2 linked regions of the Cricetulus griseus genome follow. The protein of the gene in region 2 interacts with the protein of the main gene of each other region in a pairwise test. Links are inferred from orthologs where the notes say so. Each region holds a gene or a part of one and is shown on either strand. Other genes may lie near its edges.

Region 1 (4,107 bases), on a different chromosome or scaffold from region 2:
CAAAAGGGTCATTGCCAAAGGCTCAGTAGAAAACAAAAAGGAATAATAGCAGCATCTGCAGGATAGCTCGAACATGGCCCTTCTGCAGCACAGCGACTCGCTAAGACTCGTGCAGCAGTCGTGGAAGGCAGGGGAGGGCCAGCGCCGGAATCCGAGGGGAGCAGGGATGCAGAGGACGCTGAAAAGGAGGGCACACAGGGAAAGGGGGTATTTCGTGAGAAACGACTGCGGGCGAGCTCCGAAAATCGGCGAGCCGGAAAGGCACAGAACGCGCAGACAGGCGTAAACGAGGAGCTGCTCCAAGCGCGGGTGAGACGGTGTTTGGATCGGCCCAGGCTTCCCGCCCGCCATTAGTGCCCCGCTGAGCTCCTCCGCAGGCTCCCTTCCTGCCCCTAACCCTCCGGGGACGCCTAGGCCTCCTCTTACCGGTTCTCCGCCTCTCCTCACCGGCTCCCTTTCGGCCCTGGCACAAACGTTACACGGCGAAGGCGTGAAGCGAGGGAATGGCGGGCCCGGGGTACCCAGAATACCACGCGTTCCCAGGATACCGCGCGCAGGGCCCCTCCTCTTCCTTTCCCCAGCGGCGAGAGCGCTCTGACGTATGCTTCCTCCTTAACTCCGCCGGCTCGGAAAACGACGGCTCTGGCATTATCGTTCCGGCCCTGGAGAGGACCCGGGGGGCCGCCGGAAGCATCCGTCCTCGAGCCCCAAAAGGAACATGGAGACCCCCCCCCCACTTACAAAGTACTCCAGGGACGGATTGGGCGGGAGCTAGGCTGGAGCCCCAAAATTGCTGTGGTGCCACAGGAAGTGAGGCTTGGACTAGGAATCTAAGCTTTGGATCTGGTCGCCATCAGGTAAGCGGCGCACCGAGCGTGGGAAACTGGCATTTTTCATCGTGTGGCTAAGACCGAAAGGGAGGCAGAGGAGGATTCCCGGGGCGTTTCGATGAGGCAGGCACTGCGAGGGGCCGGCGCTAACACCCGGGGCTGCAAAGGAGCAAGCCGAGCGGAGGGGGTTTGGGAGGAGCCAACGTCGCTATGGAAGGGCCTGGGGGCGGGGCCCGGGAGGGGCGGGGCTTCCGCAGAAGGCGGGCCCTGCGGGTCGCTCTTTATGGGAGAGAAGTGGGTGGGCGAGGAGGCGTGGCCTAGGGGAGGGGCGGGTCTCCAGGCCGGGGACCTGGCAGGGACGAGGCGGGGCTTGAGGCGGCCTAGCCCCCGCCCACCCGGCTCTGAACCGCGGAGGCGGCGGCGGCGGCGGGCGGCGGTGGCGGCGGCGGCGGGAGGAGGAGGAGGAGGAGGAGGAGAGGCGGCGGCGGAACTCTCCCCACACTGGCCGCGCTCGCTGCCCAGCACAAGTCGCAGCTGCGATCAGCTCCAGGCCGGGGCCATGGGCGCCCTGCGCCACCCGGGTCATGAGGACGGAGGCAGAGGCAGCGGGGCAGCCGCTCGAGCCCGGTCAGTGCCTCTCAGAGGGCCTTGCCCTCACCGGGGAAACCGAGGGGGACTCCGCCCTGGAGCTGGGCAGGGTCTGGCCGCGCGACCTTGGGCCGCAGGCGGCCTCAGCCCAGACTGGAGCTTCCAGTGGACCTTAGCTAGGTGGATGGATATTCCTTCTCGTCTCCCGTCCTCCGCTTCTGGTTGTTTCTCGGGGAGTTCTGAGAGCAGTCAAGTGCAAAAGTCCGAGGGGGCAAAGGCACTGCCTTCCCCAGAAACGAATGGTCCTGCTTGAACCCCGTTGCGTGATGCTGTTCCTAGGGGGAACTGTGGAAGGCCTGGGGCTGTGAAGGGGGAAAGAACGGCCTGAGATCCCTCAGCAAAGGGAAGGGCCTTTTTTTTTTTTTTTTTTTTTTTTTTTTAATCTGGCTTCCCAAACGCAGCGCTTTTGTCTTAGTACTCTTCTCTCTCTGGTTCCCTCCGCCCCGAGGAAACCCGAACCCCTTTGCTTGCTCAAGAAGTGGGGAAAGTTGGAAGTCATGGTGGAGCTCTGCTTGGGGCACAAGAGTTGATATATTAATAAGCTGTTGTGGCGTGCTGCTATCTCATGGGAAGGGTCAAGGGGTTTGGGGCCTGAGCCCTTCCTTAAGTGTCAATTGGAGAGTAACACCACTTTCGGGGAATGGTTCCTTCTGGTGGTAGGCTGGAGCAGGGCTTGGACCTACCCTGGGATTTACATTTTTACTCCTCCAGTTATCTAACTGTGAACTTTGATAAGATCGTTGCCCTTTCTTAGCCTCAGCAAATAATGGCTCACTTGTGTCGAGCTAAGAGGTAGATACAGTGGTAAAGTGTTTATAGATGGTATAGGATTAATTTTCATAAATCCCGGTGAAGTAGGCTACTGCTGTTATTTGTACTTTTTGAGGTGAGCAGGCTGAGGCTGAGAGGGATAATGTGTCCAGGGAGAGTTGACTGCTTTCCTTCACTAGGGACAACCAGACAACTGAAGCCAGGCCACAAACAAAGCAGACCCTAGTTTTCAGGTAGGGTCACTTCTTGGCTTCAGACATCAATATCAGCAGCAGTTTTGAAGTCTAAATGCTAAAGCTGTTATCTGGACAAATACCAAGGCCTCTCCTACACTTATCACCTGCTTCCAGAAAACATCTTGCCTGTGCCAAGATCAGGATAGCCAAGTAGGGATATTTGCCTCGTGAGGCCTCAGGATCTAGGGGTTCTAAGGCTGAGTGAAGTGGGGGAGGGGGGAAAGAGAGAGAGAGAGAGAGAGAGAGAGAGAGATCGCTGAGTTTCTTAGGACCCTGAAGAGCAACCTTCCTAGCCCACATTTTATAACAGTATAAGAGAAGACATGGCCCCAACTAATTAGAACCAGAGTGCAGGCCACAGAGAGAAGAGGGAGTATCCAACAAAGGGTTGTGATCTGGAAGCCTAGAACTAATAGGCTCTGTAGTGACAAGGAGGCATTTCAAGGGGTAGAGCTTTAAAACAAACCTATTCAACAGCATAGAATAATGCTAGCTATGGGTAAAGTCTGGGAAGAGGCAAATGCAACCTTGACCCTACCTGCCTATTACAGAATTCTCAGGCCCACCAGGGAGAAAGCAGATGCCCCCTCTATGAGCCTGATGTGAGGGGGGAGGGGGAGGGGGAGGGGCAGAACATTTGGATGTCAGAGGTGAGAAAGCCACATTCCAGATCATTGGTTAGATAAAAACAAGATCCAGGTAGTAATCAGCTTGAGTAGATCAGAGCAAAAAGGGCATTTACAGCCTCAGTGAGGATTCTGGAAAGGGAAGACACCTATCTTGATAGCGCCTCATTCTGCAGAGAGTTTTCCATCAGTGTATTGAGAGAGAACGGTTTGAGTCTCTGGAGACTGAGGTTTACATCACCTTGGTTTGCCTGAAGCCTCTCACACAGCTCATCGTTCCTTCAGTAAGTGACTTTTTTTTCCTTCCTTTTTTTTAAACTTGTAGCACCGGGGATTGAACCTCGGTCCCTGACAATGCTACGCCCCCAGCCTCAAGTAATATGATGGGTCACTACTAAGCATTAGCTACTAGACAAGGAAACAGCAGACAAAACCAGCAAGTTACCTGGTGTCTTTGTTTATTTTCTCATAATTCTGGAGGCTGAGAATTCTAAGATCAGGGTGCTGGTAAGTTCAGTACAAGATCCATCCATTTCTTATAGCCAACTCTCTCTGGCTATGCCCACATGACAGGGAGAGAGGAAAGAAAGAGAACTTGCACAGCAGAGTATCAGAAGGATAAAAAGAAAAAGGCCTATGACTGTTAGCTTGCTTTTTCTTCTTTACTTCTTCTAAGATTTTGATTATAAAGTTTTGTGTGGCTCGAGTGTTTTGTCTGCATGTGTGTCCATGCAGGTGCCCTCAGAGGCTAGAAGAGGATGCCAGAACCCCTTGAACTGGAGTTACAGACAGCTGTAAGCCGTTGTGTATGTGCCTGGAACAGAACTGAGCCTGGGTCCTTTGCAAAAGCATCAAGTACTCTAACTGCTGAGCCATCTCCAGCTTCTTAGTTTTGTCAACATGATATAATCTATAATCACGTGGGGAAAGAGCCTTAGTAAGAATTGTCTAGGTTAGACTGGGCTGTTGGTTTGCCTATGAGGGATTTTCTTAATG
Region 2 (3,511 bases):
CTTCGTCAGGGCTAAATTTAAAAGTAAAGCCACATTAAACTTTGGCAAAGATGTGGAGAAACTGGGAAGTCTCATGTACTGCTGGTAAGAAAATAAAATGGTGCCATTCCTTTGCAAAATAACTGGACAATGATCCAGCCATTCTACTCCTAGGTAGTAAACAGAAAGAAAAAGCAAGTATATACCAGAATGTTTGTAGCAGCTTAATTTAAAATATTAAAAACTGAACCCATTTAATGTCCACCTGTAGGTACATAGATACGAACATTCCTTGGTACACCCACAGCAGAAAACACTGATTACAGTGAGTTTTTGGAATATAAAAATGACATATATTAAACAGCACAGGGCAAATGTATATGACCTGAATGTCAAATACACTTTAAAATAGTTTTATTCTTGTAATTCTTTCTCTTATGTCCTACCTCATCTTTAGAGAATGCTATGATATAGGAAAGCTTTTTGCCCCATCCTATTTCATAAAGGAGAGGTTTGTCACAGACGTCTTCACATGCATCACAGTGCAGCCACCGCTGCTGAGAAGAAGAATAGACTTCTGTCCAAACATGGTCTACTCACATGGGGTAAGAAAAAGAAATGGGAAATAGAAGTTAAGTTTGTAAAACAAGAATAACTTCCAATTAACTATATATAATGTTCTACGAATCACATAATAATCTAATTTATAATGTTTAAATTTTAGTTAGTTAGCAAAAGCATTTTGTGGCACACATAATTGTAGATTATTTGTATTTAAATTTTTTAAAATGTACTCGTGTAAGTCTTAATTAAAAATAATGTGTGTTATAACTCTAAAGCAGGCAAACTCTAAAGCAGGCAAAGTTTTAGCAAAGCATCACAACCACCAGGCTGTGAAGGAATGACTGAATTTTGAAACTACAATCACTCTCTGGACCCACGAGGCCTAACAGGATATCCGGTTGTTTATGGTCTATATTTGGTTTTGAAATGGAGTCTCATCAATAGGTAAATGAATACCTAGGCTGGCTTCAATCCTCCTGCCACAGCCTGTGTTGAATGCTGGGATTACAGGCATATGCCACCATACCCTGCTTGAGGCTCTACATTTGATTTTGACAGAGAGAAGACTATTAGCTGACATTTTCATCTGATTCTAAAATAATAGTGTAAACAAGGAAAACCTTGAAACAGAGACAGCAACCAGACACAACAGTCATTTCTAAATGAAGACCAAGTCAAATACCAAGGCTTTCCTCAGAGTGTTTGTGTAGACTGCAATATAGGCCGTGTCAATTACAGCAATCCCTTTAAAAATGATCTCCACAGCACATTATTACACATATTCCCATCCACCCAGAACAGGGCTACCATTAATGTCATGCTAAAAGATTAGAAGGATACAGTCTAGCTCCCAGGAATAGAGTTAGGTCTGTTTCAAAAATCTTATGGAGCCTTGAGAATGCCTGTGAGGTTGGTACTGCTCTTATTTTACACAGGTATGGTAGTTTGAATAGGAATGGCTCCCATAGACTCATGTGTTTGAATGCTTGGCCCATAGGGAGTAGCACCATTAGGAGGTGTGGCCTTATTGGAGTGGATACAGCCTTGTTGGGGGAAGTGTGTCACTGTGGAGGCAGGCTTTGAGGTCTTATATGCTCAAGCTACACCCAGTATGACTCACAGTCTCCTTTTGCTGCCTATGGATCAAGATGTAGAACTCTCAGTCCCTTCTTCAACACCATGTCTGCCTGCCTGCAAGCCACCATGCTGCTTGCCATGATTATAAAGGACTAAACCTATGAGACTGTAAGCCAGCCCCAATTGGTGTTTTCCTTTATAAAGAGTTGCTGCGGTCATTTCACAGCAATAGAAACCCCAACTAAGACAGGAGGTGAATAAAAAACTTAGGCTGATATAAGAAAGAGAAAATTAGGGGCTTAGGGCACAAATCTGAATTCCAAATCTATAGAGCCCCTTTCCTACCTCACCTCTTCCTCTCTCCTACCACATGCTGTACCTGTGTAATCCCACACATATCGAGCTTCAAACCCTAATGCACGGCAACACAGCGTAAAACAATTGGCCCACTCGCCACAGCGTCCACATCTTGTTTCCAAAAGTTTCTCAGGGTTGTTATATCTGGTTTAAAAAACAACAACAAAGACAACAGCTGTGATTCATGATTAAAATCCAATTGTTAAAGAATTTCTATCACTTGTATGCTAAGTATCAATCATGAGTCTTAGTTTCTTGTTTTAAAATATTGGTTAAAGCACCCAGCCTATGTAAGGCACTGTGCTTGTCTTTGTGAACTATGCTTAAACAGTGGAAGTGTCTTCAGTGAGTATAGTTCTGGGCAAGGATGAACACAATTTCACTATATGCAGTCAATTTTAGTCTTAATTAAAAATGGATACTACCTCTTCAAGGACACCATCATGCTCAGGATCAGTAATACAAGCCATGTAACAACTAAGACACAGGTGAATGGTTGGAGAGGGAAGTTTTCATCTTCATGGTTTTGACAAATAAGATTTAGGTGGGAAAGTTTTCTAAGAAATGTAATTAAGACATTCAACAGTTATCTTGCAAGCAAGTTTTAAAAAACTACTCAAAGGATTTTAGCTTGGGGCAGGGGCAGGGGCAGGGGCAGGGGCAAGGGCAGGGTCAGGGATTTAGCTCAGTTTGTAGGGTACTTGCCTAGCTATAAGCCCCTGGTTTAATCCCCAGCACCAAATAAAGATGGCATGGTGTTGTACAACTGCAATCCCAGCATTTAGGAGGAGGAGGATTAGAAATCCAAAGTCATTCTTGGCTATAGGTGGAGTTCAAGGTCAGCCTGTGCCACTTGATACCTTGTTTCCAAAACCAAAACCAAAACCAAAAGAAGGGCTGGGGGGATTAGGGTTTGGAGGAATGGCTCAGTGGTTAAGAACACTTGCTGCATAAGCATAAGGACCTAAGTTTGGATCAGCACTCATGTAAAAAGCTGGGTGTGACCAAGCATAGTTGTAACCCCAGAGCTGGGGGTGATGGAGACAGGAGGATTTCTGAGGCTTGCTGGACACCAGCCTAGTTCCAGTTTTGGTGAGAGACTCTGTTTTAAGGAAATAAGGCAGATGATTCAATCAGCTTCTGATATTCTCCTGTGGCTTTCACTGTGTACCTGTGAACACACCTGTACATATACACACCAGGACTCCTCACCCACACACAAAGATTTTAATGTAGTATAAATTCCAGTTTTCTTTTTACTAATGATTTTGATTAATTCTTTGGACACATTTAAAGATGCCTGCTAATTTACAAACAAGATGACTGTAGCATTCTTCTGAAAGTTATTCCAATCATAAAATTATCCTAAGAATGGAGGGCACTGAGATTTTCATTCTGCAATGAGAAAGGCTCTGCTGGTGTGTTCAGTGCTCCAGCTGAACAGAAAAGTCAGTCCCAGGCCTGGGAAGAGAAGGAAGTAGTGCCATGAATGAACTGGCTCTGCAATGACAAGTTTGTTGAGCACATGTTTTGC

The links. The genes of interacting proteins can lie anywhere in the genome.
Region 1: the proteins of Ngly1 (region 2) and Gucd1 interact in binary tests that used the Homo sapiens proteins (3 or more experiments, as listed by UniProt). The two-hybrid records come from large-scale screens. The link is inferred for Cricetulus griseus from reciprocal best matches to the Homo sapiens genes NGLY1 and GUCD1.

Annotation. Positions count from the first base shown.
Region 1 is NW_023276806.1:263,065,599-263,069,705, forward strand, and holds the start of Gucd1 (protein GUCD1), read left to right. Parts: upstream 1-1,297; 5' UTR 1,298-1,414; coding exon 1,415-1,457; intron 1,458-3,565; exon of another isoform or gene 3,566-4,107.
Region 2 is NW_023276807.1:173,763,762-173,767,272, reverse strand, and holds part of Ngly1 (peptide-N(4)-(N-acetyl-beta-glucosaminyl)asparagine amidase), read right to left. Parts: intron 2,122-3,511; coding exon 2,000-2,121; intron 572-1,999; coding exon 426-571; intron 1-425. UniProt on the Homo sapiens protein: Specifically deglycosylates the denatured form of N-linked glycoproteins in the cytoplasm and assists their proteasome-mediated degradation. Cleaves the beta-aspartyl-glucosamine (GlcNAc) of the glycan and the amide side chain of Asn, converting Asn to Asp.